Linked DNA regions of Astyanax mexicanus. The protein of the gene in region 1 binds, or shares a complex with, the protein of each later gene. Links are inferred from orthologs where the notes say so. Each region holds a gene or a part of one and is shown in the gene's direction. Other genes may lie near its edges. The genes, in order: ran and nup50.

What was found.
Region 2: the proteins of ran (region 1) and nup50 are in contact, whole or in part, in a crystal structure (PDB 7MO0), measured with the Homo sapiens proteins. The link is inferred for Astyanax mexicanus from reciprocal best matches to the Homo sapiens genes RAN and NUP50. Residues at the interface, in NP_006316.1 of Homo sapiens: Arg29, His30, Thr32, Gly33, Glu34, Phe35, Glu36, Phe52, Val124, Asp125, Ile126, Lys127, Ser153, Asn154, Tyr155, Phe157, Glu158, Phe176, Ala178, Pro180, Ala181, Leu182, Ala183, Pro184, Glu186, Val187, Asp190, Pro191, Ala194, Tyr197; in NP_009103.2 of Homo sapiens: Pro344, Pro345, Lys346, Val347, Val352, Lys362, Cys363, Lys364, Phe366, Tyr367, Lys368, Asn371, Glu372, Phe373, Lys374, Glu375, Lys376, Gly377, Ile378, Lys384, Lys390, Gln392, Leu394, Arg396, Thr399, Asn400, Leu401, Asn403, Ile404, Leu405.

Annotation. Positions count from the first base shown.
Region 1 is NC_064417.1:22,956,078-22,967,053, reverse strand, and holds ran (GTP-binding nuclear protein Ran), read left to right. Parts: upstream 1-6,039; 5' UTR 6,040-6,163; intron 6,164-7,926; 5' UTR 7,927-7,966; coding exon 7,967-7,999; intron 8,000-8,430; coding exon 8,431-8,515; intron 8,516-8,902; coding exon 8,903-9,028; intron 9,029-9,204; coding exon 9,205-9,392; intron 9,393-9,586; coding exon 9,587-9,757; intron 9,758-9,858; coding exon 9,859-9,903; 3' UTR 9,904-10,284; downstream 10,285-10,976. Other genes in the region: ndufs8b (NADH:ubiquinone oxidoreductase core subunit S8b), read left to right, coding at 731-770, 928-993, 1,364-1,453, 3,927-4,099, 4,596-4,724, 4,878-5,009. UniProt on the Homo sapiens protein: GTPase involved in nucleocytoplasmic transport, participating both to the import and the export from the nucleus of proteins and RNAs. Switches between a cytoplasmic GDP- and a nuclear GTP-bound state by nucleotide exchange and GTP hydrolysis.
Region 2 is NC_064409.1:16,129,891-16,141,036, reverse strand, and holds the start of nup50 (nuclear pore complex protein Nup50), read left to right. Parts: upstream 1-5,757; 5' UTR 5,758-5,907; intron 5,908-8,103; exon of another isoform or gene 8,104-8,106; 5' UTR 8,107-8,113; coding exon 8,114-8,182; intron 8,183-9,480; coding exon 9,481-9,564; intron 9,565-10,463; coding exon 10,464-10,674; intron 10,675-11,146. UniProt on the Homo sapiens protein: Component of the nuclear pore complex that has a direct role in nuclear protein import. Actively displaces NLSs from importin-alpha, and facilitates disassembly of the importin-alpha:beta-cargo complex and importin recycling.

The DNA of each region.
Region 1 (10,976 bases):
TAATGTGTTTGAGAGCACCAGTTGTAAAGTTGTGAAGAGGTAGAGTTATAGGTATACAGTGAATAGCTCTACTTAAGTATTGATCTGATCCAGTCAAGAACTACTCATCTAAGTAAAGAAATGAAGGTCAGTAAATCTGAAAAATTTCAAGAACTTTGAAAGTATCCTCAAGATGATTAAAAACACCGGCTCTCATCAGGACTGGCCCAGAAAACATTTAGTTTTTAGTTAAACTTTGGACTAAATTCTTTTTATATCATTCAAGGTGAAAGAATAATAGTTCCAGGGATTAACCACTCTTGAATATTTAATAACACTACATATAAAACTGTAAAAATATTTCACGCAAAAAAAAAAAAAAAATTTAAATGTACTAATCCATTGTACATAGGCCCGTCACAACAATTACATTATTGTACAATACGTATCATACAATATGTGGACATAACCTCAATCATTTTTGCTGACTTCAATATAGTTCTTTAAGAGTGACGTGTAACTTCATTATTATGCTATTATGTTATCCTTATTTCTATGTAATGAAAAAGTCATATTGTGCTTTGCAAACAATTCCAGCACAATATACCTTCTAAAAGAATGAGTTATTTACACATATCTCATTGTTTATGAATATATCTACTTTTTATAAACAGTATTGTTCTGTCTATATATATTTCTCATGCTCTGTCTCTCTTTGTTGTTTTTTTGTCAGTAGACTAATGCTGGTGGGATGTCTACAGCACTGCGCTTGCTTTACTCCTCCAGGCCAGGTGAGCCTCACTGTTTATAGAATAGAGTTATTATATGAGTTTATAGAACTTTTTTTACGATGTCTACTGAATTTGTGTGTCCTGAATTTGGCTGGTCTGCAGAACGAGGATGGTTCTCATCAATAACAGTCTCTGTCCTTCTCAATGTTTTATTCAGGCACATTTGCTGCCAGCCCTGTCCTGGTTAGAGCCTTTAGTGTCACCATACAAAGAGAAGGCTACAGTAAGGCATAAACACACACACACACACACATCAAATTTAGCTCCTTTTAATGTACAGATGAACTACTTAAAGCAATATTATGTGCCACGTTTACCTTAAAATAGCAGCTAAAGAATTACTGATGCTTCACTAAATGTAATATAGAGAATGCCGAATGCCGTAAAAAGTACCATCAGGGCCATATGCAAGAAATACTGTTTAAAACTATGAACAGACTTTTTAAAATAAACAATACACTGTACTGCAAATCCAGTTAAAATTGGATAATTATGCTTTTGTTGTAATGTAACAGCAAGTTACCCACCCCTGTGAACATGTACTGTTTTGTGTTTATATACTGTAATTGGCTGTGTCTCTTTATCTCTAAAAGAATATGTGAATGCTCAGGAGCTGCCCATTGACATGAAGTCTGTTACTGATCGAGCGGCCCAGACTCTGCTCTGGACTGAACTGTTCAGAGGTCAGTATACTCCTTGTGCTTTTCAGTTAAACATCATTAATCCTGTTTTCACCTTTGATTAGTGTACCACCGTGATGGTTCACCTATTAGATGTATGGATGAATAAATTGGTGGATGGGTGGGTTGGTGGTTGGATACATCAATAAACACATAGATAAATACTTTATTGATCTCAGAGGGAAATGCAAGAAAGTGTGGACAATGCCCCTTTAGTCAATTCTTTAGTCATAAAACCAGAAATTCATCCTGAGAATAAACATGATGTTCACTGCTGCCCTGCATATTTAAAATAAAGATGTCTATATGATATACTAAGAAACACACCAGATGTTTGTTGTTGTAGAGAGGCAAAAAAAAACTATAAAAAAATTAATCCTAATAAAAACTATAAATAAATAATCCAAAGGTCACCCTTCCCTATGCCTAGCAAAGATGAAGATGACGACCTCCAATATTAGGCTGTAGAGCAGTGGAACTGTGTTCTCAGGAGTAATGGAGCTTTGTCCAGTACCATTGGAGTGGAGATCATACAGTTGTGGTCAAAAGTTTACATACACTTGTAAAAAAACATAATGTTATGGCTGTCTTGAGTTTTCAATAAGTTCTACAACTCTTATTTTTCTGTGATAGAGTGATCGGAACACATACATGTTTGTCACAAAAAACAGTCATAAAATTTGGTTCTTTCATAAATTTATTATGGGTCTGCTGAAAATGTCACCAAATCTGCTGGGTCAAAAATATACATACAGCAACATTAGTATTTGGTTACATGTCCCTTGGCCATTTTCACGGCAACTAGGCGCTTTTGGTAGCCATCCACAAGCTCCTGGCAAGCTTCAGGTCGAATGTTTGACCACTCTTCTTGACAGAATTGGTGCAGTTCAGCTAAATGTGATGGTTTTCTTGCATGAACCCGTTTCTTTAGCACTGTCCACATGTTCTCAATGGGGTTTAAGTCAGGACTTTGGGAAGGCCATTCTAAAACCTTAATTCTAGCCTGGTTTAGCCATTCCTTTACCACTTTTGATGTGTGTTTTGGGTCATTGTCTTGTTGGAACACCCAACTGCGCCCAAGACCCAACCTTCTGGCTGATGGTTTTAAGTTTTCCTGCAGAATTTGGAGGTAATCCTCCTTCTTCATTATCCCATTTACTTTCTGCAAAGAACCAGTTCCACTGGCAGCAAAACATCCCCAGAGCATAATACTACCACCACCATGCTTGACAGTAGGCATGGTGTTCCTGGGATTAAAGGCCTCACCTTTTCTCCTCCAAACATATTGCTGGGTGTTGTGGCCAAACAGCTCAATTTTTGTTTCGTCTGACCAGAGAACTTTCCTCCAGAAGGTTTTATCTTTGTCCATGTGATCAGCAGCAAACTTCAGCCGAGTCTTAAGGTGCCTTTTCTGGAGCAAGGGCTTCTTTCTTGCACGGCAGCCTCTCAGTCCATGGCGATGTAAAACACGCTTGACTGTGGAGACTGACACCTGTGTTCCATCAGCTTCCAAATCCTTTCAGACCTGCTTCTTGGTGATTCTTGGTTGACTCTTGACCATCCTGACCAATCTCCTCTCGGCAGCATGTGATAGCTTGCGTTTTCTTCCTGATCGTGGCAGTGACACAACTGTTCCATGCACTTTATACTTGCGTATAATTGTCTGCACAGTTGCTCTTGGGACCTGTAGCTGCTTTGAAATGGCTCCAAGTGACTTCCCTGACTTGTTCAAGTCAATAATTCGCTTTTTCAGATCCACACTGAGTTCCTTTGACTTTCCCATTGTAGCTTTTGTAGCTGAGTCTAATCACTGGGTCAAATGAGCCCTATTTAAATGGGCTCATGAGAAGTCAACAGCTGTAGTCAATCAGAATCACTTACAAGAAGTGAAGAGGCCATGACATGAAGCTAATTTGATTGACACAACTCGCTACATCACCAAAATTGACAAATTTTGTTGCTGTATGTATATTTTTGACCCAGCAGATTTGGGGACATTTTCAGCAGACCCATAATAAATTTATGAAAGAACCAAATTTTATGACTGTTTTTTGTGACAAACATGTATGTGTTCCGATCACTCTATCACAGAAAAATAAGAGTTGTAGAACTTATTGAAAACTCAAGACAGCCATAACATTATGTTTTTTTACAAGTGTATGTAAACTTTTGACCACAACTGTATGTGCCAGAACATAATTTAAATGGGATGTTTGACACCAGCCACACATGAGCCTAAGGTCAATATACCCAATGCCAAACAACAGCTAGAAGGCTAATATTGCTGAAACATTACTTAACCATTTAACAATGTTTCTTACTGTAGTGAGTAATTTTTGTGTGACCTGTGTTGGATTTAGTGCATCAGGCATTTTAGATCACCTTCACTGACACCAGTTCAGTGGCCAAGAAGGACTGAATATATTATGAAGTAGAGATTTTATAAAAGCATTTGTAAGTGTTTATATGTGTGTAGGACTGGGCATGACTATGAGTTACCTGTTCCGAGAGCCAGCCACCATTAACTACCCCTTTGAGAAAGGACCCTTGTCCCCTCGATTCCGTGGAGAACACGCGCTGCGCAGGTACCCAAACGGAGAGGAGCGCTGTATCGCGTGCAAACTGTGTGAGGCCATCTGCCCAGCACAGGTATACCACACACACACACACACACACACACACACACACACACACACACACACATACACACAGCATTATTACAGTGCAGTATTACACATACACATACAACTACAGTATATGAGATGGAGTGAGGCCTAAGAGTGGGTGCAAATGGATGGGACATTCCCTTTCTGAAGTTGTGTGGGCATTTAACATTTCTTAATTGCACAGTCATGTGTGCACTGAGAATACATCATAGAGGGCATTAACACCCACAGCGGACTGTGCAATAGCTGGTAATGATTGTGACCGGCAGCATCTGGCAAACAGACAAGTGACTCTGGCAGAAATCACATCATATTCAATGCACAAGTGCTGCGTTTTTTGATACCTTGGGATATGGCAAAAATTATGGCATGTTAGTGTTTATGTGTGCAAAATGTAATGTAAATAAATTGGTAAGAAATAAAAACACAGATAAGAGTTGGGACCTAAACAGTAAAGTGTGTGTTTGTGTGTGTTGCAGGCTATCACAATAGAAGCAGAGACCCGTGCTGATGGCAGCAGAAGAACCACTCGCTATGATATTGACATGACAAAATGCATCTACTGTGGATTCTGCCAGGAGGCATGCCCTGTAGATGCAATTGTGGAGGTGCGCGCATGCACACACACACACACACACACACACACACACACACACACACACACACACACACACACACACACACACACACACACAGAGATGCTCCATTTTCACTTTTACTGTTTTCTTCACCTCGCTTCTCTCTTTCCCCCTTTCTCTCAGGGTCCTAATTTTGAGTTCTCCACTGAGACACATGAGGAGCTGCTTTATAATAAGGAAAAGCTGCTGAATAATGGAGATCGCTGGGAGGCTGAGATCGCTGCCAACATCCAGGCTGACTACCTGTACAGATAAACAGCCCTGAACAGGAAGCAATACATGCAAACCATCAGAATTAAGAAAATACATCTGTTGTCTGCTCTTTATTACAGCCATAATTGCAGTGTATACTAAGAAGCACTCAGTGCACCCAGTGTAGGAGAATTCATTGTATGGTTCAAACTTCCAAGGTAATGAACTGAAACATCACTAATCGCATTCTCAGGAACTTAATAATCACGCACAAATGTACACAAGTACACAATGAATGAAGTGTAATTATTGTATTTTATAATAGATTTACTTTCAGAAATAAAACTTTAAAAAATATTTTGTGTGCCTGTGTGTGTTTTTTGAGTGAAAGGCATAGATAATGTGGACATTTTTATCAGTAGCATTCATATTACTAATAAAACTAGAGAAAGAATTGGTAATTAGTAATGTATATCGTTATTGTAAGTTATTGTAGTACCCGAACAGTTCTTTCTCATGTCCTTAATGTTAGTTTTAGTCTGTAGTTTTAGTCTGTTAGTCTGAAGTGTCTGTAAGTATAGTATTTTGATGCCATCTCAGCTGATCCAGCAGTTTGTGATTTTATGGTTTTATATGTGTTGCTAGGATTAACTTGCAGTAAATAATGTACATATTGTTTGTATTGTATTCTTATAGCTTGTACTCTGTTCGTGCAGTGTAAAATGGATATTTAAATAATAATAAGAATGGGGTGTACATAAATTACTGTATACTTTTTTTTAGAATGTTCTACAAAACTGTATCTAAATAACCGAATATAAATACATTCAAAAAGCTATATAATAGTTTATGTTAAATGTGGAGTGGTTCCAAACGAATAATTATGCAATGTGCAAGGGGAACGCCTCCCTCAGATTTAATGGGCGCTCATGCAACAACCTTAAAAGATGTAATACAACCTAAGAAACAACGTTCATGCAATGTTCTTTGGTCTAAAGGCAAGACAAACCCCACCCTGCACTCTGTACCTGCTCCATGGGAAAGTTTAGGGTTGCTGCTGTTGCAGAAAGCGGCCAGGCGGGGGCGCGTTACTGCGCGCGGGTTTGCCTGGTCACGTGCTTGGGGCGGAAGCGTTAATGCGGCCGCGCTGAGAGTCGCGCGCTCGGTGCCATTTGCTCTTTTCTCACTGCGCGGCAGAGCGGAGCACGAGCGTCCAGGTAGGAACTGCGCGCGCTGGGAACCAGAATCAGCCCTTAGCGCTCACACACACCCCGCGTTTACACCGCAACACATCGCTCAGCCTCCCGCGCCCCGCTGCGGCACCGATTCAGCGGATCCGCGGGTTAGATCAGGCCTTTAGAGCGGCGGGCTCGGCTCGGTTTAACGCGGTAGCATCGTGTGGCTAGGCAGGTTAGCGCTTAATGCTAGCGCGGATGCGATTACGTTATTGCGTTCCCTGATTTTATTATAAATCCGTAATTTTGGGTGTTAGTCCTGTGCTGTAGGGTATATGTAAGGTGGAGGACTGGATTGGAGGGGTCTGGTCTTTCTGAGATCCGGCGCTCTTTTTTGTTTTGTTGTCCGGTAGCTCTAAAGGAGGACAGTCCTCATCCAGCGAGTAGAAGTCCATCCCAGGATTTTAATCCGACCGCCTGTATCGCTGTACTGCAGCTCATCGGCTCAGCTTGCGTTAACTAGATATAAGCCACGCTAGTTACCTTGATATATTGTTCTGTGCGTTCTAGATAGCTTTTAAATCATTTTCACTTGTTTACATTTGCGTGTGTATTTTTCACTTGTGACTAATGTACTCAATATGTCATCCATGTAGTATTTTATTGCCTCAAACCTTTTTTTGGCCATAATCGATTATCATATGGCTTCATGTAAACTAACCAAAACCTTATTTGTGATCAATCATTTTAGGAGAACTTTAAACTTAACACCTAATTTGTGGGCTCAGTATGTTAACCTAACTACCGTAGCTAAGCTATGTTTTGGCCTTTGAAACAAATTTTTGTTCCCTGTAAGATTTTAATACACCGTTTAAAAGAAGTCCCTGCAATTCAGCTAACTTAATGTGTGGCCTATATATTTTTGTTGAATTAAATAAATTTGCTTTTGTGGTCTTCTGCAGACTAAATGTGGCCACTATATTACCTAATGACCTCCTTTTAAATTTTACTGTTGTGGCTACAACTCAATTTGACCAATAGCTTGTCATATAGCTATTGCATATAGTATTTCCTGTTCACTACAAACTTACTTATTGACTACTAGCTAGTAACGTGGCTAATTTGAGGCCCCAGTAGCTAGCTAACAGTGTTACATTTGAGCTCTCAAAATATATTTCGTGGCAGCTAAAACATTTTTATATTTAGTTGCCTGTAAATAGTTTTATAGAAAGTACCCGGGTGTTTTGAAACAAAATATCCTTGGGTGGATTTTTACTTTCTGGACTTGGATTACCCATCAGTATTGGTAGCGAACAGTTAGCCGGTTAGCATTAGCCAGCGGAAAGAGAGCAGGCTAGCGTTGGCTAAGCTAACTGGATGGATTTGCTTCTGGTGAGAACTAGAAAAGCGCGGCAGCTGTGCGACATGACGCTCAACCAACCAGCAGAACCGGCTCTGAGAGCTCCCATCCGGACTGAACTCGAACCCGGTGGTCGGAACCGGTTCAGACTCGCTTATAGCAGAGCTACCATTCATATTAGCCATAGATGTAATATGTGAGGCGTAGTGAACGCGGCCCCAGCGTGCTGTACGTGTAGCTAAGCTAGCTCATTAGCATTTACTGCGCTCTTGCTTGGCGCCTTTATCAGACGTTCTGGTGGTTGGTTGATTGATGCCGGGCTGCTCAGGCCGCTCAGGCCCGTCCCGCAGCTTCACTGGGTTTGCCCGACACCGCGTGTGGGGAGGGGGATTGTTCTCCGGCCTTTTGTCTGCCTGTATTAACCCTCCCGCCATCTCTCCCGCAGAGTCGCGCTGCGTCAGAGACCCACACACACACATCCAACAATGGCAGAAAACGACCCACAGGTTCAGTTTAAGGTGAGTATTTCATCTAATAAACTACACTGGTGACCTTTTAGGAAACATTGTTTAAAAAAAAAACCTCAACTCTACTGAACAAACTTATGAAGTCAGCTTAAAGGGCCATGCCCCCATTTTTATTAACTTATAAAAGTTGAGAGGCGAATAGCCATAGCCATATTATTTGTTCTGAAGCAAGAAATGAGCTTATGATGTCTGAATTAAATATCTAACGTTTATCACAGTAAGTTACTGACAGATAAATTGTCTCTGGTTGTCTAAAAAGACCCTCCTGTATACATTCATACCATCATAAATGGCAAAGCTTGTCTTAATATTGCTTGTTAGCCAGAGCACTCAGAGCAATTATTGCAGTACAGTATAGCAGTGTGTCTTTTAAGACACATTTTAATATTTTTGTAGTTGTTAACTGTTTTTCCAACCCACAGCTGGTTCTTGTAGGAGATGGAGGTACGGGAAAGACCACCTTCGTAAAGAGGCATTTGACAGGAGAGTTTGAAAAGAAATATGTTGGTAAGTTTGGCTTTGGACTTGTAAAAAATTGTATACAGGCCTGTTTTAGAACTTTACTATATTCCAGCGAATGTGCTCAAACTCAGAAGTGCTCATTTGAGCACTGTGGCCTGAGTGTGACTCAATCGCCCCATTACACATAGAGGGAGGTTTGTGCTGGGGAGCTTTAAGTATGTCAGGCTTTGCAGGGTAGGTAAACATTGTGCAGTCAGTTAAAACAGTAAATCAAGTTTTAAGCATGTCTTTTAATTAAAAAAATCTTTTGTGTAAATACTTCTGTGTATATAATTAAGTATTGTTTTCATTACCCTGCGGGTCTGTGCACTTATTTACATCTGTTTGTAATGACACCTTTTTTTTTTTTTTTTATCTGCTTTTTCCATTCAGCCACTTTGGGGGTTGAAGTACACCCTTTGGTCTTCCACACTAACAGAGGGGCAATCAAATACAATGTATGGGACACAGCTGGACAGGAGAAGTTTGGTGGTCTCAGAGATGGCTACTACATTCAAGGTATATCTCTTGCTTGCCATTGTTGTTAATCTTTTACACTCAGTTTTTAAGGTCAAGCACCATAGCTTCTGTTTTACTGAAGCCTCACATCTTTTTGTTCAATGACCCAGTAACAGAACCAAATCTTTACACATTACTGCAACTTTAGTTTCATTTTCTCTTGCTTGTGTCTCCAGCTCAGTGTGCAATCATTATGTTTGATGTCACCTCTCGAGTCACTTATAAGAACGTGCCCAATTGGCATCGTGACCTGGTCCGCGTGTGTGAGAACATTCCCATAGTTCTGTGTGGCAACAAGGTGGACATCAAGGACAGGAAAGTGAAGGCCAAGAGCATTGTGTTCCATCGCAAGAAGAATCTACAGGTACAGCATAATACCCTATACTTCTGTTCCCTGGAACAATGGGTGTGTCCTGCCAGCAATTTTGTTACATCTGAATGACTAATGTTGCTGTTATGCAGTGTTAATGTGTAATTTTTAGATCTTTAGTTTGGGTTGGAAGGATGTGAAGTTTGATTGGCTGTTAATGTATTGTTAAATCTTTGTTTCCGTTTTAGTACTATGACATCTCTGCAAAGAGTAATTATAACTTCGAGAAGCCTTTCCTTTGGCTTGCACGAAAGCTGATTGGTGATCCTAACCTTGAATTTGTGGAGATGCCTGCCCTTGCCCCACCTGAAATCGCTATGGACCCATCACTTGCTGCACAGTACGAGCATGACCTGAAAGTAAGTACACATACACAAGTGATAAAACTTAACCAAAGTTTGTATGGCTTGTTTTTACCACAATATTAATATATAACTTCTTTCTTCTGTCCTTCTCCCAGGTGGCATCAGAAACAGCTCTCCCAGATGAGGATGATGACCTTTAACCTGTTACCCCCCCTCTGATCTTTCCTTGTGGTCTTGGCCCTCAAAAGGAGTTTGCCCTTCCCCGCTCCCCTTTTACTGTAAAACCCCAGCGCAGATTATTTTTATTTTTCAAGTTTTGTTTTGTTTTTGTGTTTTCAAATTGAATAAAAAGTGAAGTTGTGTGGTTCTCGGATTTCAACGTAGACTTGCTAACCCTAACGCCACCTTTCGGACTCACTCTAGGACACATTTAAACACATGCCTACACTCTGAAACAGACATGCAAACACTCAATCACTCAAAGGCGTGAGAGCAGTTTACTGAGTGTCCCAGTGCTTATTCTATCTGTATGGCTCTAAGCACTTAGAGAACAACTTTGAATAAAAACATTCTCAAAATAATGTTGCTTGGCTTTTTATTTTTTGTTTCAAATTAACTTATTTTGGGTCGTTTACTTTGCATAAACTAAATCTGTCATGGGCTTAAACTATATTTAAAGTGGGACGTGTTTGGCCAGCCTAGTTGTCCAGCAGAAGAGAGGTCAAGGCAATTCCTGTTGGGCTGTTCTGATTTTATAAATTGGGTTACTTTGGAAGTAGCTTTCTAGGCCTTATTGTGTACATAATTTTAGTTCTTTGAAGTTTTTAATTACAGTAAGTTCAATTTAAAAGACTAGAATTTATTAATGTCCTGTCTTGTCTATCTTTAACCCCATAAAAAAAAATTTAACTAGTTTTAGCTGATTCGCTTTAGGAACACGTACCTCTTAAGTATTAATACTTCTCTAAATGGCTGAACTCTAACTTGCATCTCTTGATTCTTTGCTGGCTTTACCTGCCATGATGGCAGAACACTTTTTCTGTCCTTTATAGAGTTATGAGGAGCTCCATTTAACATTGTGAGATTCAGGCCAAGAACAGTCTTTCATTAGTTTAAGGTGTTTTATACAATGTATAAAATGCAACCAGATTCATGCTATCTGTAAACTTTATTGAAAAGTCTTTTTATATATATATTTCTTTAAAAGCATGATTGGTGGTTATTTTGCTAATAATTTAAGCTTAATGTTGAATTTGTAAGTAATTTGCATTTT
Region 2 (11,146 bases), on another chromosome or scaffold:
AGAGGAAGTGATAAAGTTGGTCTGTGTTGATTTAAAAATGAGTCACACTATAGGAACTTTACAGCCTTCACAGATATATTACAGTCAAAGAACAAAAAAATGTTATACCAGTAAAACCTTCTTGAGCCATAAATGTAGTGATATTTGTTTTTTTTTTTCAATTAATTATACAGTACAGAAGTGCTTGTTCCCACAGTGATGTGTGAAAGGGGAGTGCCATATTTTTCCACAGTTTTAAATGCAATAATTTATACGTGATTATGAAATACAACTCTGGAAAATAATAAGAGACCACCTTAATTTCTGAATCTTTTTGTATATTTTGCTATTTATATGTTTATGTTTGAGTACAATGAACATTGTTGTTTTATTCTATAAACTACAGACAACATTTCTCCCGAATTCCAAATTAAAATATTGTCATTTAAAGCATTTATTTGCAAAAAAAAAGAAATGGCTGGAATAACAAAAAAGATGCAGACCTCTCAGATCTCAAGCAATGCAAAGAAAACAAGTTTATAAAGTTTTAAGAGTTTAGAAATCAATATTTGGTGAAAAAACCCTGAATCCTGAGTTTTCATGCATATTGGCATTTTCTCCTCCACCAGTCTTACACTATCCACTGCTTTTGGACAACTTTATGCCTTTACTCCTGGTGCAAAAATTCAAGCAGTTCAGCTTGGTTTCATGGCTGTGATCATCCGTCTTCCTCTTGATTATATTCCAGAGGTTTTTAATTTGGTAAAATCAAAGAAACTTATCATTTTAAGTGGTCTCTTATTTTTTCCAGAGCTGTACATGATTTACAGTATATTATATGCAAAATAAGTGCTGTACAGTTTTTTTAATTACACAAAGTTTGGCCCCAACTTTCACTCCGTAATTCACTCCTTTAACAGAGCCTGGGGATGCATTTGCATTTTTATTTAGCATTGTAAACATGACGTTACTTCTAGGCCTGCTACGATAATAATATTATCAACTATCAATTGTACAATAACTGGACTTGATTCAATAATATATGATAATTACAATATCGTCTATTGTATTTGTTTGGCTTTAAAAAGGGAATAATTGCATTGTTATACTATAATATTACTACTGTATCAGTGTCATTTGATGGTCTTAAAATGACAATAATATCGTTTATTGCAAAACTTTCTGGGAAAATTCTTATTGACATGCCTAATCATAATTACTTTTTATTTATGCTGACATAAGGACTAAATTTCTCTCACTCTCACACACACACGCACATGCATATACGCACATACACACAGCTGCTGGCAGGTTTCCTCTTTCCAAATTGTTAAAGGTGTAACAAAGCATCAAAACTACCCTGATATATTATAATAAAATAAAAAGAGCTCTGGCCTGCCAGGAAGAAAATGCAAGGAAGTATTAAATCTCTTTTAAAGTGTGTTAAAATGAACTGTGATAGAGTCATTTTGAGTTTGCTGATTTTGCAGTGTGTGTTATAACGTAGTCTAAGTTTAAATGTAGTTTTGCCGTTTCAAAAGGGAAAGTTTCCATCAAATCACCCGAATGTGGTCTTTCAATAAACAGCCAGCCGTGTCAGAACAGAGCTGCTTTAATCATTTACAATAATCACTGATGTAAAACATCTCCTCATAAACAGTGATCGATGGCACCGCAAGGCCCTCTGGGACAGAATTGGCTGTGGATGAGCTGCTGAGAGCAGCTTAGAGTTTAGTTCTGTTGAAAAATCTGAAATCAATCCATTTCTCCTTCCCCCTGTAGAGAACATCACGTGGTGGCTGGGCGCGCACTGGGACATGACAGCCTGTCAGAGGCCCCGTCCCTTTATGACGAGTCCGAGGCCCCCTAATTTTATCAGCCCAGTAATCTTCATAACTATTAGGAGGCCCTTTTACATCCCGTCTTTGTCATGTGCAGGCCATCGCCCCTCCCACCCCAGCCAGCCGTCACCCATTTCCTCACTTTCTGCTGCTGTTTTGATGCACTCCATTGGAAGTGAGTGCAAATCTGCAGCAATTTAGCCTGAATGGGAAAAAACGTCATGGCCTGAATGCGTTTTATCACCTGCTGAAGCAAAAACGATGAAGTTTATGCATAATTATATCGTCCTTAAACCGCTTTTCAGCATTTCTCAGAGCCCACAGAAGCTAATCACGGCATCCAGAGAGAAAATTCTGGAATATTAAAATGGTTCCTCAAATACAGTTCACAGATCACTTGGTTTTAGCATTAACCTCTTGACCCCTGTAGCCTCATTAGTCTACTGTTTATTGTAACGATCATAATGATGGAACTCTTATTAATTGTATTAATAATTATACATTTACATCTCAGTCTCTGAGATACAGTATAAACAGAGTACTTCATTGTAATTTGGTGTGAAACAGATCCAGCTAACAGAGAATGTTTTAGCAACGTCTTTTAATAACAATTTAAAAAGGTTCCTGGAAGGTTATCCTGTAAGAGCACAGAAATATTTTTTCTTTATGTTTCTCACATAATGTTCCCATATAGACAAATACTAAAATTATGGAAAAGTTAAATAAATTATTCCCAAAGCTAAAAATGAAATGACAAGTAAAAAAACTCGAACGTTGTAAGAACATTAATTGTAACACTCAGAAAACATTCTACTAACCAAAACTGGCTTGCTGGGTGTAAACGTACCATCTCGGATCACTTTACAGTGGTGATGGTAGGGAAAGGCTTCAAAACAACTTTATATATAGTTGTAGCAAATTAGCCAGCTTCACTTAGTCCTGTTCCAGCAATATTGACAATATCACTATGCACTTCTATTTTTAGGACCTTTTTTTTTACCTAGAACATCCTGCATATACTCCTCCAGCATGAATATTTTAAATTTTCTGTATCAGAGATTGTAGAGATTTTTGGGAACTCCTCACACATAAATAGATTTTAACTCCCTGTTAAATGGCTTTAAGATTTTTTGGGGGTAATATGTTTCCCTAGCACATTCTAAATTTACTTTTCCACCATAAATATATTATTAACTTTAAGGAAGTTGGCTTTTTCCTTGATCCTTCTTCCTTACTTGATCCTCCACCACAAAGATTTTTTTAATCTTCCTGTGATATGGATTTTGGAGCTTTTTGGGGACTTTTTTTTCTTAAAATAATTATCATATATTCTTTATAAGAAAATTAAAATAAAATAAAATGAAAGTGCCTGTTTTTTATTACTGTTCATTTAAAACATATCTAAACTATGTCTCTGTTCTAATTGGTCAGCATACCATTTGGTAATTTATTATTCAGTGATATATAAGTTATTTAGTTGTAAAAGTGAGGGTCTGAAGTTTGGGCCTACCCCCATACAGGCTCAGAGCTTAAAGGGTTAATCTCATTATCCACCCATTCATAAGGAACAGAGAAGGAGGACTATGCACACACACACACACACACACACACACACACACTCTCTCACTCTCTATTTTTTGTCCCACACACTGAGGCTGATCCCCCACCTCGCTGTTTGCTGCGCTCTCTCCTGGCCAGCTGGTCAGGGCTCTCCTGTGGACGTTCAGGCCCTGAGCGTACATCCTACTTTCCTCAGCACCTGTTCCCGGGTTGGCACCACGACTATGGGATCCTGAGGGCTTGGATCAGCGCCATCTGCTCCGCAACACTGCAGCGTTTTCCATGAAATCCCCCCAAAGTCTATCTGAATCAATCCCACCCTGCAATGGAGCGCAACCCCACCAACAGCCTGACAGAAATAAATTACATCAGCTGCTCTCTCCCAGAGTTCAGAGTCCATTCGGGTCTGTATTGCACCGAATTAAATTTAAACTAAATATGGTTCTTTTTAAAACAGTCCCAGAAACATCCTAAATGTGTAGCCCAACTGGGAACCAGTAATTTTGTCCACAGGTTTAAATTTGGCCCCACAAATGGATAGATGTAAGTGTTGGGCCAACAGGCTCAGTGATGAGACCAGGAAGGGTTAAATATGGTCTATACACTGTATCTAGGTTGTACACAGCACATGAGGCCTAGCCCATATTGCAACCACGTGAGCCCCACATGAACAAGTTGGCTGGGATATCTTACATTAAAATGAAACAAAAAAGACAACTTATTCAAACTAATGAAACAAACATACAATATATTGAGTTTAAACATGATATTCCTGGCCATGGCCAAAAAAACCCACAAATGCATGGTTTAGATAAGCTTTTCTAGCAATGCTAAAACAGAATACAAACTCATATTTATCAGTGTCAAACTTGAGTTACAGGCATGTCAAAAAAAAAAAAAGTACATTTTTAATGGTTTACTCCCATGCATATGATACATACATATAAACATTACTCACCTAAAGCTCATGTGTAGCTCTTTGTGAGTTTGGTTTGTTTGCAGTAACTGTATATATATATATTGTGATAACCATTTACTATGCACTTCCAAAACTGAGTAAATGCGCATGTGTGTGTGTGTGTGTGTGTGTAGGAGGGGCTGCAGGGCATGGTGCTTTCTAGGCCATGGTGCACCCCTGGCCCAGTCTTGGAGCCAGAACTGCTGTTTATTACTTGAGGAGGGCTTGATGGCAGCCTAAGACCTTGATAAAAGTTATCTGAGAGCATGCATCTTTTGGGGTGTTCAAATTTCGCACAAAACAAGAATGACTAAAAATATTGGTAAAAATCTTTTACCTTTATCAAGTCATAGTATTGGACATGCCTGTACAAAAAAGTATGGTGACATTTGTCATGTTTCTTTTTAATTCTATTTAATTTTTATTTAATTAGCATAACAATTGTGGATATTTTCTATTCATTGGATGGTTTGAATGGAGCTGCTTGGCCTTGGAAATTATATGAAGTTCTCTATGCTCTACTATCCTTGAGATAATCTAAAGGCCTCATGAAGTTTAAAAGTCTGTGGCGACTGACTCTGCAGAAAGTTAGTCACCTTTGCACACTATGAGCCTCAGCATCAGCTGACCACACACTGTTATTTCAAGTTGACAGAGCGAGTTGCTTTAGATCCCATCGCTTCCACTTGGTTATAATAGCACTGACAGTTGGCTGTGGAATATTTAGTATTGATAGAATTTCTCAACTGGGCTGGTTGCACAGGGGGCATCCCAGATATCTCACACATCTCAGACACCTCAACACACAGAGACAGAGCTAACCCCAGCCCCCACCTCACCCACCACACACCAAACACACTTACACAAAACTGAACAGAACCCCCAGAAATGTAAATACACTAAATGTTAATTGTATACTGTTATAAGTGCATACTGTTTATACATGCATGTTCATATCTGAGTGAGATTTTTACTACTTTTTTATGATTCTCAAAAGTCACTAAATCCAGCAACAAAATTGCTAAATTAGCAACACTGGCTCTCTAGCAACAATGTTCAGTGAACGGTTATTTACGTTTATGAGCTTTTCTTATTGTTACAGTGGGACTTTACTGCAGTAAAACCTGAGTCACTGCAGTAAATCTCTTACAGCTTACCCCTAGATAAGTGAATTGTTGGGGGGTTTTGTTATGGAACACACCTGAGTAATTTCCTTAGGTAAGGGAAAATATTCTGTTAAGATTACTTACCTCAATGATTTGGAGTTCTATGATTGTGAGGAGTTAATACTTTTGTTAGTATTGTGTTTACCTGTTACTGTGGAGCTCATGGCATGTTTTCAGATTGCACAAATTGTAGTTCTGGGGGAACTGTTCACAAAGACTACATTTCCCTCAACCACATTCGCTTCCCCTTCACTGCACATGCGCAGTGCTCCGTTTTGACGCGCGAATATCCCGTTTTGTAAGATGGTGGCGTGGTGAGAGTGTGAAGCTGCCGGTGTTGTTGTATTAGGAGCCGTTTTATCACAGTGTAGCAGTTCGGTACCGTGTGGTGCTCTTCAGAAAGGTCAGTATACGCCGGTGCGGTGTGTATAATCGGTAGAATGTGTGCGGAGTGTTAGCGGTGGGTGAGCTGGTGTGTTCCGGCTAACGGCTAACAGCTAGTTTATGTGACCGGCCTGCCTGTACATGGCTGCCGGCCCGCGGGTCGCCCGTCACTCCGCCGCCAATCCGCCAAATCTGAGAATGTGCTGTGAATGTGGCGGGTCTGTTACAGTGTTACTGCGGAGGACAGGCTGTTTAACCGCCGTCTGTTCTCCGGCTGAGCCGCTCGGGAGCAGTTTAGAGCTGAGGGGGTGATAATGTGCTGATTTACTGTGTGGTTTTACTTTCTGATTGACTGATTAACTCCAACTCTCTCTCTGTAACTCCAGACACACTATAGCTAACCTAACACAGCGCGGTGTCTGTCAGAGCTCAATTACACAACTAACAACCGCTGGAGTTTATGAGGGAATTAGCTCAGCTAGCGTTAGGTTAGCTAGTTTATGTGTTAAATTTTATTTGAAAAACGTTTTCTCAGTGAAATAAACCGTTTCCTCAGGTTAGGGGGGACAGTTTAGCAAGCTAAGCTTGATAGCTCACTAGGTAACTTAGTCAGGTAGTTAGCTTAACTAAATAGAAAGTAATTTATTTTAAAATGTTAGCTAACTAGCTAATTAAGTTTTTTTAATTAATAGTAGGTTTTTTGAAAGAAAATTGTGATATTAAGCTAAGTAGGCTAAGCGATTTATAGAATTGCTGCTTTATTACAGGCAATGATTTAACCTTACCTATTAAATTAATGGTACGCTAGCTAACTATGTAGCTAACTAGCTAACTTAGACGGGGAGCTTAAGTTAACCATTAAATTAGCTAAATAGAGTGAGTCATTTATTCAAATAAACAAGCTAACTAGGTTGATTAAGTTTCGTAAAGTAACAGTAGGTTTTATTAAACAAAAATTAGTGATTTAAGCTCACCGTTAAGCTAAGTAGGCTAAGCAGTTAAACTATATAATTTATGCTCTCTTACAGGCTAATAGCTATTAAATGAATGGCACATTTATAAAGTTGAGGGAGTTTTTTTAACCTACTTAAATAAGGAGAACCATTTAGCTATTCAAGTGGCCGTTAGGGGTTAGTACCATACAGCCAACGTTTTTGTATAGGTTATAGATCTTGCAAAGAAATTTTGATATAATTTGGGGCCATATTGGTCGCATATCAGGGTACAACTTTGCTGCTTTTAGAAAAAGTTAAATGTACACTGTTCTCATTTCCCAATAAAGTATGTTGATGAAATATTTTCTTAAATCTGTGTTCCTGAAATATTGGGGGGTTGTTGTATCAATCATGGTATAGATTTGTAAAGGGAATGACTTTTTAAAGTCAGCATATGGTTTATTAATTTAAGTGAATTTCCTCATTCACTCTGTATGAAGTAGAATTAAAAAACACAAAGTTTTGTTTGGTTTGCGGGAACATGGCAGTTATAAAACGTGACTACAGAGTAGCTACTGACAGCACTGAACAAAACTGAAAAGAAAAAGTTTGAAAAGGTATAAAAAAAGTGCCTGAACCCTGGACCAGTCTTTCTAATGCATGGCTTAATTGTAATAGATACATGAGCTAACTGTAGAAAATGCAACACATTGGAGACTCTAGTTGTCAGTACAAAATTGTTTTAGTTGTCATGACAGTGGTGCAGTATTTGTTTTAGTGTAGTTTTGGCAACAAATGACATGTGCCTCACAATTTTCTCTCCCGAAAATATGTAGTGATATGAAATAAAATATAGTTCTAGAGATTTTCATCATTAGAAATAAAAATGCAGCCAAAATTATCTCAGAGGTGTGATGTTATCTTGTACATATGTTCATTGTCTTACGTTACCTCACCGCGTGCCAGTTTTATTGTTCATTTCAAGTAATTATTAACAATCTGTGTGTTCAGCAGATTGTAAGTTTGATAAATCTATGAATAAAACCCTTTTTCTTAATATAGAACTGGCTGTACCAACTTAAAAAGGCAGAATCAATACTTTGACTGTTTTAGGCTTATGTATGCCTGCTCTCTCCTTCAATGAAAGACAAATACAGATTAGTTGACTGAAATATATATATAATCAATAAACCACATAACTTCGGTAGGTTTTGGAGCTCACCACTTTATTTGTTGAAATTCGTTTGGTTAATAGTTTTCACATTTGTTTTACCTGTCAGCAGGTCTGTGATGGCAAAGCGGATTGCGGAGAAGGAGTTGACAGACAGGAACTGGGATCAGGAAGATGAAGGGGAAGAGGTATGATTCCTGTAGTTAAGCTGTGTTTTTTCATGTAGACGCAAGCCACATTGAAATTGTTTATTTTTTCACCAAGCAAAACGTCTAGATTTTTGTTTTTTGTCTCTATAATGGCAGTTCAGTTTTTAAAAAAATAATCTGAGACTGAAATTTTAGGGTAAACATTTTGTCTGGTAGGTTTTCAAGTTATTGAATCATTAGAAAGAGCTTCAAATGAAACTACCATAGTTTGTTTATCAGTGGTTCCCAATCCTGATTCAGGGGTAACAAAGCCCTGCTTGATCTAGGGTTTTCTTACTGTAAGACCCAATTTGTTTCAACAAGGCCTCCTATGTCAATTAATTGGTTGGATCAGGTGTGTTAGAATCTAAAACTGGGAGGGCTGTGGTAGTCCAGGATCATTAATGAGAACCACAGCACTATACAGTATAAGTGCACTTTATTGGACAATATCTGTGCTGCATAGTGTACCATTTGGGCCTTTTCTGAAACTGCACTTAAGAAGTTCCCTTAATACTCTATTTTGAATGATGTCTGTAACTATGCCCTTGTCACTCTATAGTTCACTGTTTCCTATTTCCTGTATAATACACTTTTTTGCACTAGATCTGTAACTATGCCATATTTAGTATATAGTGCACATTTTTGGCTTTATCTGAAACTACACCTTGTTAACTTTGCAGTGCACTGTTTTGGATTACACCTGTCACTACAGCCAAGTCAATATATAGTGCACTCTAAAGTCACTATATCAGGGGTCAACATCCCTGCTCCCTGAGAGCTGGCGTCCTGCAGATTACACCTTCATCCCAAATCTAACACGTCCCCAATAACTGATCAGGCATTTCTGAAGGCAGTAATTTGTTGGCTCAGGTGGGTTTGATCAGTAGTTGTAGCCTTGTGGAAACACATTTATAGAACTTTGTCTTATTTACTCTGTAGTGCACTATTTTGGACAAATATTTATAAACCTTTGTCCTGTTCTCTGTGTAGTGCACCATTTGGGGCTACTTATGAATCTATTTACAATTTTATATGAAGTGCGTCCCTTTTTTTTTTTTTTTTTTCTGTTTCATTTTTAAATAAAGCATTGGTGGTGGTGGTATGCATAGTTGATGCTATATTGGTGTTGATAACTTACTACCTACGATAACATTTATAAACGCAGGCAGACCTAAAGACAAAGTTGTATTTGCAGAGTGACTGCAATTATGGGAACAGAAAATTGTCATTTTGATTTTATGTTGGACCATTTCCTAAAAATCCTCTCCTGTGTAACACGTTGTTCCTTTCTTCAGGCAGGGACATTTTCAACTGCGAGTGAGGATGTGATGAAAAACCGAGCCATCAAGAAAGCCAAGCGTAGAAATTTTGGAGCTGAGGTAAGTGAAGTGCTTCTCTTTGTCAGTAGACATCAGGCATGTGGTACAATGTGACTTTTACAGGGGGTTACGGAGCCAAGTGTTAAAAAAAATGGGTGTGCATTGAATTAGGGTTGGACAATAAAACAATAGGTAAGGTACCTGTCGTGAAATAACTTTTCCTTATTATAAATATAAGACAGGGATAAGAATAGATGTTTCCAACAGATAACCATAATGGCCAATAGTAAATAGGCAAAGCGCCATGTGGCTGAAATAAAGTTATAGCCACATGTTATGCCTGTGGCACAGAGCGTAGGAAGGTTTTATGTAGACAGTATTCAAGTTATAGTCTGTTTTTTCTTTATATGAAGTATGGTGTTCTACGGTTCTTTTTATACACTTATGAAATATAAAAAATATATTTTTATAATTATTATTATTATTTTTAAATAAATATATATATATTTATTTATATATATTATTATTAAATATATATATATATTTATTACTAAATTACAGTTCTACTCGAATGAGAGTTACTGTCTGAGCTAAACTCGTCTGGTCATACTGTTATTTCTATTTATTTCCTGGTTTATTATTCAGACACCAGCTAAAGATAGCTTTCTCAAGTTTCAGCATTGGGTGGGTATTGAAGCCAAGCAGTCAGTGTCGAGTACAAGCCTCCAACTAGTTCTCAAAGCAGAGACATTAAGTTTTCTAATGTCATTTTTGTTTGTTCTTCGCTCTCAATAGTGTTTATTTCTATGTACTTCTATGTACTTTATATAAAGTAGTAATATATTATTAATATTTTATTGTAGCTGTGTTTTTAATTTGTGTGTACTACTATAGAATGCAGAGCAGTGTGAATTATGTAATTATGTAAATTATTAAGGAGTTTTTTCATGTTGCTGCAGGGTGAGAGTGGAGGAGCTTTTAAAAGCTTTAAGGGTTTCTCTCTGACCGCGTCGGCTCCGGCAGCTGGAGGAGGAGGAGGAGGAGGATTCACAGGCTTTGGTAATGGAACTGGATTCAAACCCCTCTCTGGTCTGACCAACGGCAGCATGTCATCTGTAACCCCATCTTTTGGAGGCTTCAGTTCCTCTGCTACCCCCAAGCCAATCACCGGTAAATCTTGAAAAATGCAGTAAATGTTGTTAAGAAACTGGTACTGATAAGGGATTTGCAGAAATTAACATATTTGCCTGAAAATGGACAAAATGGATCATTTGGCTGAAGACCAAATAATGAGCATGTTTTAACAGGTTTTAATTATTTTTTTTATTCTTTTTTTAATTACATTTTACATTTCTGTCTTGATTTCACTGGACAAAAAAAATACTATATAATAAATATTTCATTATATAATATATATTTCAACATTCAGCTGACATACCTACAACACATAATATATAGACATTGTTTAGGCTATTTCTTTCTTTTTACTTATTTGGCAGAACAAAATTTATTTTTTTAAAATTAATTTTAGTTTTTTTGCTATTTTTGTATAATAACTAAATAATATAATAATTCAATTATTTAAATAATTAAATAATTATTGATTACACACATTTAGTGCATACTAAAAAAATGTTAGAAA